Neurospora crassa OR74A: one gene and its partner. Each later gene encodes a partner of the first gene's protein in a complex. Links are inferred from orthologs where the notes say so. Each region holds a gene or a part of one and is shown on either strand. Other genes may lie near its edges. The genes, in order: NCU07710 and NCU03029.

The links.
Region 2: the proteins of NCU07710 (region 1) and NCU03029 are in contact, whole or in part, in a cryo-EM structure (PDB 8AE6), measured with the Saccharomyces cerevisiae proteins. The link is inferred for Neurospora crassa OR74A from reciprocal best matches to the Saccharomyces cerevisiae genes IML1 and NPR2. Residues at the interface, in NP_012672.1 of Saccharomyces cerevisiae: Glu288, Asn291, Phe292, Glu293, Glu294, Thr295, Gly296, Glu297, Gln298, Phe300, Gln301, Asn305, Pro309, Phe339, Lys340, Pro344, Trp367, Val368, Met371, Glu372, Arg375, Glu376, Met379, Pro403, Ile405, Lys406, Leu445, Pro476, Leu477, His478; in NP_010852.4 of Saccharomyces cerevisiae: Pro106, Arg110, Met114, Val117, Leu118, Glu120, Gln121, Asn122, Glu220, Gly221, Asn222, Ala223, Asp225, Lys227, Phe229, Pro234, Pro235, Ser247, Ser248, Val249, Asn250, Lys253, Ile254, Ile255, Asp256, Val257, Asn258, Trp259, Asp260, Pro261.

The regions. Positions count from the first base shown.
Region 1 is NC_026504.1:2,119,442-2,123,922, reverse strand, and holds the end of NCU07710 (vacuolar membrane-associated protein iml-1), read left to right. Parts: coding exon 1-3,813; 3' UTR 3,814-3,970; downstream 3,971-4,481. UniProt on the Saccharomyces cerevisiae protein: Component of the SEA complex which coats the vacuolar membrane and is involved in intracellular trafficking, autophagy, response to nitrogen starvation, and amino acid biogenesis.
Region 2 is NC_026501.1:8,388,742-8,393,327, reverse strand, and holds NCU03029 (hypothetical protein), read right to left. Parts: upstream 3,003-4,586; 5' UTR 2,722-3,002; coding exon 2,679-2,721; intron 2,545-2,678; coding exon 2,008-2,544; intron 1,938-2,007; coding exon 646-1,937; 3' UTR 474-645; downstream 1-473. Other genes in the region: NCU03028 (deubiquitination-protection protein dph1), read left to right, coding at 1-192; cyt-18 (tyrosyl-tRNA synthetase), read right to left, coding at 3,389-4,586. UniProt on the Saccharomyces cerevisiae protein: Component of the SEA complex which coats the vacuolar membrane and is involved in intracellular trafficking, autophagy, response to nitrogen starvation, and amino acid biogenesis. Mediates inactivation of the TORC1 complex in response to amino acid starvation.

The DNA of each region.
Region 1 (4,481 bases):
GTCAGGCGACATCATGCTGATGACGCGAGTCTTCTCGGGACGTCATACACTGAGCGTAGGCCGTCTACGAGTGCCTCACAAATGACTATGACTGGGCATAGATCCAGTCAGCGCTTCAATGCCGACAAACCTGAATCGCGTAACCGTAAGACGGTCGACTTCGACAAACTCAACTCCAAGCGTTCACCAACAATCACTCCAAAAGTTCCAAAGTTCATGAAGCAGATCAGCCTTGGCAGCTCCGGTTTTCGCATTGCCGCACCCAAAGCTGCGACGGCAGAACTTAGCATTGAAAGTGTGAATGCTGATAGATCATTGGCATCTTCAAGGGCTTTGATGAACGCGGGCACTGTTGCAACTCCAGCCAAAGCAGCAATCAACCGGTCAATGTCGCCCCAGATGTTCGCGAGTGGAACTCCCGTTTTCTCCCCTTGGGGCGCTACACCAGGCTCATTCGCGCCCAGCCATCAGTACTTTGAGGGTACTCCAAGCCGGCCGATGCCAATCAAGTCGCAACAGATTCCTACTGACCCTGCAGCCAACATGCTATCAGGCTCGATGCTTGCCTCAACACTACGGGCCGATTACGTTCCTGATAATCGCGATCTCTTCTATTCAGATGCAATCAGAGCTGAGGATGCGAAGAAGGTTTATAATAACAAGCTTTTGGCCGGAGCGGTACCGGAATTACCGTCAACTTTATCGCCGACAACCGCGCTGTCACCTTGGCTGACGTTGGTCAACCCGTCGAACCCTGATAGCAACAAGGTCGATATTGCCACGTTGTACAGTCGTTGGCAACATGTGTTTCCTAGGCCAAACGAGACGCGGGTGATGAAATGGAAGTCTTTGTGCTCCCCCGCTGCCGTTCCACTAACCACAGAGTACTTCCCTACCAAGGCACAGTTCGAGTCAGAGTACCACCGTCAACCGTATAATGTCTCGCAAAATGCTGATGATGAGCTGGCCGAGGAACCCAAGTCACGCGACGAGATGCTGCGCGAGATGATCAGTCTCAGATTCTGCCAAGGATTCCAGGTCGTTGTAGGCCCAGCTGTTGCCAAAGCCTTTGGCCAGAAGCAACTCAAGGTTACCGACATATTCTCCCGCGACCACACAGCAGAGGATGGTACAAGCATCTTCATGTCGGTCGGCAACACGATCCACCAACTGTCGTGTGTGAATGGCACCGAAATTGAAGTTAATATCTTTGTCCGGAAGCCGATCGCCTCGGCGGGACTGTACAATGACCGTTACTTGTACAAACCGGCGATACGAACTCTACTTGACCACGGTTACAAAACCCGTTCTTATGACATGGTGGCCCCAACGCCTGATCGGAACTGGAATTACGTCGATGCCTTTGTTGCAGGGCATAATGACGAGTTGTCCGAACATTTGAGGTTTTGGCGCGCTAGGTTCGTCCTGATACCAATGACAGCCAGACACTCGTTTTTCCCCAAGACGCAGTACGGGGACAGTGAAGAAGAGATTCGCATCGAAGGCATTCGGAAGCTTGCGCAGATGTGGCAGAAGCACAGGTATATCCCGGCGAGCGAACGGAGCTTTCAAGCATCGCGTCGCAAAAAGGACATGAATCCCCTTGATATCGTTTACAAAACAGAAGATCCATCCGTAGTTATTGCGGCCGAGCTGGAAACGCTTCCGTTGTTGGAGGGCCTGGAAGGCGGGCACAGGAAGGGTCAGCTGGTCACGAGCAGAGAGCAATTTTCGAAGAAGAACTTCAGCCTGGCAGCATTGGCAGAGGCTATCCAGCAGCCCGTGGAAAATGGAGGCATTCGAATGCAAAACCGGCGCTGGCATTTGCGCCTCCATTACAACTGCTTCATCGGCTCTGACATGACCACTTGGCTCCTGGAGAACTTCGAAGACTTGGAGGACAGAGAGGAAGCCGAAGAGCTTGGTAACCGTCTCATGGTCACTTCAGATGATAAGTCGAAGGATGAAAGCAAAGATGGGAGGAAGGATGGCGGTGGACTCTTCGTGCACGTTGAGAGGCGACATCCTTTCAGAGATGGCCAGTACTTCTACCAGATCAGCAGCGACTATGCGAAACCCAACCCTCCAGGCTGGTTTAACACAAGGCGGGTTCCAGTGTCTGTCCCATCAACACCGCATTCGGAAGTACGGGATTCACCAAGGTCCAATGTGTCGATGTCAAGACCAACATCTATCCACGAAGACAGCTCTCCCACCTCTGGAACGGTTACCCCAACGGCAGCTATGATGGCGGGTGGCAAGAAGCCCAGGGTGGTTCTGAGTAAGGTCATGAAATACGATGTTGACCATCGAAAACGCTCTTACCGGCCCGAGGTGGTCGATTTGCATTACGACAGACTTCACAACCCCGACAATTGTTACCATATCCGGATCGACTGGATGAACGTAACAGCCAAGTTGATCGAAGATGCTATTGAGGCATGGGCTCGCGAGGCAGCCTTGTACGGGCTCCGGCTCGTTGAGGTTCCTATCAACGAAGCTTGTGATATAACGGAAATTAACCCGTTCCGCCGACCGTACATGATCAAGCTGGCTGTCCAGCCACCAAACCAACAGCCCATCACCTACTTTGATCCCAATTCGTTTACTCCGCAAGCACAGCCAGGGCGGCACTTCTATCAGAGGGCTCTCCTGAGAAAGTTTGACTTTGTTCTCGACATGGAGCCAGCGTCCAGCTTCCCCTATACCGTCGACGTGTCGTACTCATGGGGCAAGCCGGACTTTAAATACACGCAGTTCATCCACCGCTCCGGTACTCTCATTGCTGAAATCACCGACGAAGGCGACATCCTGATCTTAGCCAACCGTCTCTATAGCAACCGCACGGCGGCCCAGCGTGAGAAGGAAATGCAGCAGAAGGGAGGCGGATCCGGTGCCGGGGGCGACAACCTCGGACTCGGTCCCGGTCCAGGCCGCATCTCAACGCCTGGTCTCTACGGACCAAACGCTCACCCAGACCAGCCAAACGCAGTCTCCTCCCCGCTCGTCAAACCCACAACAGCCTTCCTCTCCCCCGCGCTTCGGCCGCACCTCATCGGGCCCCTGGCCAGCGGCCCCCCATCAACCAACGGATTCGGCACCACAGGCCAACCCCTCAACCGATCCACCGTCACCGTCCCCGTAACGCCCGTCATCCAAGACCCTGAGGTTATCAAAGACGAGCTCGAATCCTTCTGCCGCGACCGCTCCGCCCTCGAGGCCTTTTACCGCGAATTGCTCGAGCGCGAAGCGCACCCGCCCGCACCCAACACCACGCCCGGCCTTGCGCCCGTGAAGATCCCGTCGACCACAGCGACGAAGGACTCAACCCTCGCCTTCGCTACTCCTCACCTCGGCGCCGGTCAAAATACTACCAGCACGGGTCACACGGTTCCCGATACGAACATCCCCAGCCTCGGCCTTCCTCCGGGCGTGCTAGCAGCAATAGGCGGCACCGGCCTGAGCAATCTTAGTGACTTGCAGCTGGTAGGTAGCGGGACTGGGCTGGGAATCAGTCCTGTACGAGTGGGAAGTCCGAGCTTGTTGTCGGCTGCGTCGGCTGCGTCTGCGGGCCACCCCTCGCACTCGACGATGATGAGGAGAGCGAGCGTGCAGGAAGGGGTTATGGGTAGTAGGATTGGTTTGGGCTTTGGGGGAGGTGCGTCAGCTGCAGCTGCAGCTGCTCAAGCGGCGGCGGCAGCGGCAGCGGCAGGAGCTTCGGGAGCGGGAGCTGCTGGTAGTAGTTCTGATGCTGGTGGTGCCGGAAACATTGGTGGTGGTGCTGGCGGAGATGCAGGTGCTAGTGAGCACTGAAGGAGAGCGTGGGAGGTGGCAAGAGGGGTGTGAAAGGGGGGAAGGTGGAATAAGATGGGTTTGAGTAGTTTGATGGTCATGGATGGTACTTGAGAAGATGTAAAATCATGTATGGAGATCGAATAAATCATGACAGACAGTGGAACATGGTTTCAAGTATACTAAGTGGAAGTATCGCTATATATTGTAAAGGTGCTTTGATGCCATCCCAGGTAGTCACTACCTTGGAGAGCTTGGATAGCGAGCATTCAAGTATGATGGGTGATACTCCACTTTCGTGAGATACTGTATCTTGCTTGCTGTCAGTCAGGTCGCACAACATCTTGAAAGTCGCAACTATTTCTGGCTAGGATGATCGCTATCGAGGACTAACGACGAATTCGCATCCCTTGGTGGTCACTGCTTCTTTCACCATAGAGACCCGCCTGCATGAAGGTATGTAAAGCTTCCGTATAACTCCAGTCCGCAACACCAATTCGCAGGTATCTTTGTCGTGGACTCGCACTAAATTGCCAACATATGTAACTATCCTTCCGTTTCAGGATAGGTAGCAGGACTGAGCAAACTGTCCAAAGAGAAAAAGGAATCTCGATGAGGTGCAGCACGGTCAAGTACGTCCTACCCCATCCGCACTGCATCGCATCACCAAAATCCATGTCGCTCGCAGA
Region 2 (4,586 bases), on another chromosome or scaffold:
GGTGGTTTGGGTGGTTTTGGCGGAAATCCCGTTGCTCCTCCCGACAACAGGCCGCCAGAGGAGAGGTATGCTGAGCAGCTGCGTCAACTCAACGATATGGGTTTCTTCGATTTTGATCGGAACGTTGCTGCACTACGCCGCAGCGGTGGTAGCGTACAGGGTGCTATCGAACATCTTCTGGGCGGTTCTTAACTTAAATTTCTTTACTAGACGGTGCAGAGATGTGGACCGGAGATTGACAGTTATCTGCTGTTCCTCAAGGATACGGCGGTATTCACAATGAACGACAGAATGTCGAGGGGATAGTGGATTGAAGGATGTCCAGGGAGTGCAGTGTTATCTCCTGGCGAGGTCATTGTTGGGCCGTGCTAGATATATTTTAATCAAATATCTAGCGATAATGGTTGCTCAGGAGGACGATAGACAGTCCAGCACAGAGACGATGCTCAAAACAACACCCCTTCAGCGGGTGTCCTCACGTAAGGAGGTTTACATGTTTACAGTTTAGCGATCTTTATCAAACATGTCTCCTCTTGCTTGAATCAACAAGGTTCTTTTGTCCTCTAAGAAGACGAGTTCGCATACAGTAGCCGGGCTAACTATCAACACCACTAATCAACTCTTATTTGCATGCTATCATTCCCTCTACCGATAAAGCACCGTCAAATCCCCAGCCGGCACCGGAAAGTTCCTCAATTTATCCATAATCTCCGCGTCCGTCATGTTCCTCTCCGTCATGATCTGATCAAAACAATGTCGTCCATCCATATACTTTTGCAACGGATCCCCACTAGCCTTCATCATCATCGCCATCTTCTTGCTGTTCGACCCCTTCCCCCCCGGACCCCCATGACTCCCGGGTTCACGATAGGTATCATAATGTCCGCCCGGCACCGCCACTTTATGTTCCCTCCCCATTTCCCCTTCGCCATACCCCCTCCCACTTTTCCCTTTGCCTGTGCCAGTTCCGGTGTCGGATGGCGAAACAGGTCTAGCCAACCCCGTAGCTAGCGCAGCCAGATACTGTTTCGAGATAACATACTTGTGCACCCTGTACAAACACCCCTTGATGACGCCAAATTGAACTAAGCGGCGAACGTCCACGTACCGTAGGACGTCGAAGCCGGAATCCATATGGCCCTTGAGCCATTCGGCCACGGTTTTGCCGACGCAGAAGGTAGTCATTAGGCGGATTAGCATGTAGTTGGATATGCGGTATCCGTTGGGTGGTGGGGGCTTGTTAGACGGTGGGGAGGAGGAGGAGTGGATGTTGGAGGAAGGGTTGCGGGGGGAGGTGGAGGGCTTTCGTTCGTGGACGGGGGAGAGGTGGTGTTGGGCGTAAGGGCTGGGATCGCGGTCGGAACCACCTCCTGGGCCAAGGCCAAAGGGGGAGAGGTGGCTGTGGCGTGTGCTGGCAGAGGTGGAGAGGTTGGAGGGATTGTGGTTGTGGAAAGTGGTGCTTCCTGACACAGAACGGAGACGGTGGTAGTTGTCGGAGGAAGAAGAAGAAGAAGAAGGTCCGGCGCCGGTGCCGGTGTTGTTGCTGCTGCTGGGAGACGGATCGATAGGTCCGACGCAGACGTAGTTAGCACATTCGTCGACCATGCCGCCTACGTTGGCGATGAAGTCGTGGATGCCCGGGCGAGGGGCGTAGCACGCGCCGAACAAGAACATGTCTAGGAGCAGGATAGTGTCGTAGTAGAGCAAGTGGCGGAGGGCGAGCTGGGTCAGCTCGAGGGAGACGCCGGAGGCCAGAGCAATGCGGCGCACGTCGGAAACGCCATCGATATGAGCGACGACGCGCTGCAGGGTTAGATCCCAGGTTGGGTCGACGACGTCGGCGAACTTCATCTTGGCGACGGGGACGTGCCAGCCTTTGACTTCAGGGGGGTTGACGTGGTGAGGAAAGAGTTTCATGTTGATTGTGTTAGCGTCGTCTGTTTTGAAACGGTCAGCATTTTTTGTAACTAAGGTGATGAAGGGGGGTGAATAGGTAGGGAGATATACCAATGGGAATCATGCACTCTCCATAGTTATTCAGATCCTCCTTCACAATCTCCAGCAACGATTCTATCGGCCGCCGCATACTCACCATTTCATTCCCGTCCCCATCCACCCAACGGCCCCCGCCATTGCCATACCCATGAACCGCGACCGCTCCGCCCCTCGTGGCCGCGTCCTGGCTCAGGTAGCCGTCCTGCTTCTCCATCTCGGCAAAGGTGGCCGCCAGCCTCCTTACGACGCGTTCATAGGGGATCTGGTCCACCACATCGCAACTGATGACGAGCCCAAAGTTGAAAATGAACTCGTTCCGGTCGTACCGCGGGTCCGGAATGGAGACGGGGTATCCCAGGATGACGTACTTGCCGTCCGGGTCATTGACGGTGATGAAGCGGTTGCAGAAGGCCTTGCGCGGGATGATGTACTCCTGGAGCACGCTGAAGTCGAAGAGACATGGTTTCCTGTTGAGGGGACCATTGGTGCCTTCTGGAAGTGGAACTGGCACGATTGAGCCCGGTGGACTTTGTGCGACGATTTTGGTTCCTGAGTTAGGGAAAAGTGCCACTGGTTAGCTTGAGATTCACTACACTTCGTCTTTGGGCTGTCTTGGCCAGACCCAATAAAAATGGGTGGGCAAATGACTTTGATGAGTGACGGGCAAGGCAGGCTATATGTACCCTCTTTTGGAAAGAACCTGGCATAGAAGATTGCTTGAATCATGATTTAAATGATTGTTGTCGAAACCCAGGGTCTTCTTGGTGTTGGGAAAAGCGACTTTGGATTTGACGCCGAGACGAGTAATATGGTCTCATCGGATGTTACCGGCGCTCATTTCTATCGGTTGGTTCTACCGAGTAGCGTATAGATGTCATCCGAATCTGAAGTAGAATGAAATTGCTTTTGAGAACAATGATCAGACACTTTGCAAACCAAAGATGACGTTAGCATAGTAGTCGTCGCCGTGGTCGGTTTGCCAGAAGTTGTCACGTATTGTGTTTTGTCTTGGGAAAGGTGCCTTGGTGCTACGAGGTCAATGGCTGCTAGTGTGTACCTCACATATAACCCTAACCCCTCCCACAAAAACAGAGAACACATAACCCCTTTTCGACTTCAGCATCGGAGGACCCAGGAATGAACGCTAACTATCCGTGTATTTCAAAATGTTTGCTTGAGAAACATCATGATCATTCTGGAAATACCATATTGTCGTTTGTGTTTTTCATATTGCGGGGCTCCACGGTATTGACTATGATGTCCAAAAATCGGGTATTCTCATGCTTCTATCTTACAAAATATGTATGGGGAGTAACGCTTTTGTCCAACCAATCCAACCTTTATGCCTTTTCTCTGTGCCACCCTACCATGCGAATAGAATCTTACACATTCTCTACCACTTATACGGATCCCTATCATCTTGAGTCTGCTTCTTCACCCCATCTCCCCGCACAGAGGGTTTTTCGTCCATCATGCCATCAATCGTTTTTACTGAGGCAATCATCTCCTGCTTAAGCTTGGTCTCCATATCCTTCTTTTGCCTGCTCTTTTCCTCAGGGAAGATAATCTGCTGGCCCTGCTGCTTCTCCTGCGAACTCTTTTGCAGCTCGTTCACAGCATTCTTAGCCTCTTCAGGGGTCAACTTCTTCTCTTTGAGGTTCTTCATAATCTCATTCAGTTTCCTGACAGCGCCGGTAAAGCTCTGTCCGGGGTACGTCTGGCCCGAAGCAGCATACTCGACGTCGCTGACCATCTGGATTACACGCACGTTGTGCTTGCCCTTGCGGAGGATTAGCAGGTTGCCGTTAATCAGGTAGCGCTGGGTCTCGCCGGGGAACCACAGCTTGACGGGCATAAAAGAGATGAGGTCCGGGTTCATGGTGACGTTCTCGCCGCCGGCTCTGTGGGCTCCGCCGACGTAGCAGCCCTGGGCAGCCGCGAGCTTGTGGCCCTCGGTGGTGCTGCTGGCGAGACCGGCGGCGTAGAGGATGCGGCCGATAGACTTGCCCATGATGAGCGACTCGGGGAGAATCATGTCGATACGGGGCGCGTTGTTGAGGGTGACAGGCTGATCTGAAATCGTCTTGTACTGATCGCCACCGGTGGCTGCGTCCTTGGCACGAGAGACTTGGGGAATGGTCATCTGGCCGGTATACATCATACGATGCTGGTCCTCGGCGGCGCTGGCCTCCTGTTTACCGTGCACCAGCGTCACAACCTCACGCGCAAGGGTATGTTGCGCGACACGCTTGCTAGGGTCTTTGATGTGCTCCTCCATAGTCTTGGTGATTTCGCTGATGGGCATGAAAGTGAAGAGCTTGAGGAGATTCTCAACCTCTTGGTCGGACCGGCGGACAAAGTAACCATAGAAATCGAAGACGGAGGTCTGATAGGGGTCAAGCCAAATGGCGTTACCCGCACTCTTACCAAACTTGGCACCGGATGAATCGGTCAAGAGAGGGACGGTGAAGCCGACGCATTCGTCAAGGGCAGTCTTGGGCGTAACATATTTGCGCTCCTGCGGGTCGGGCTCGGATTCTCGGGCGGCCTTGACGACCTCGAGACCAGATATGATGTTGCCGTACTGATCA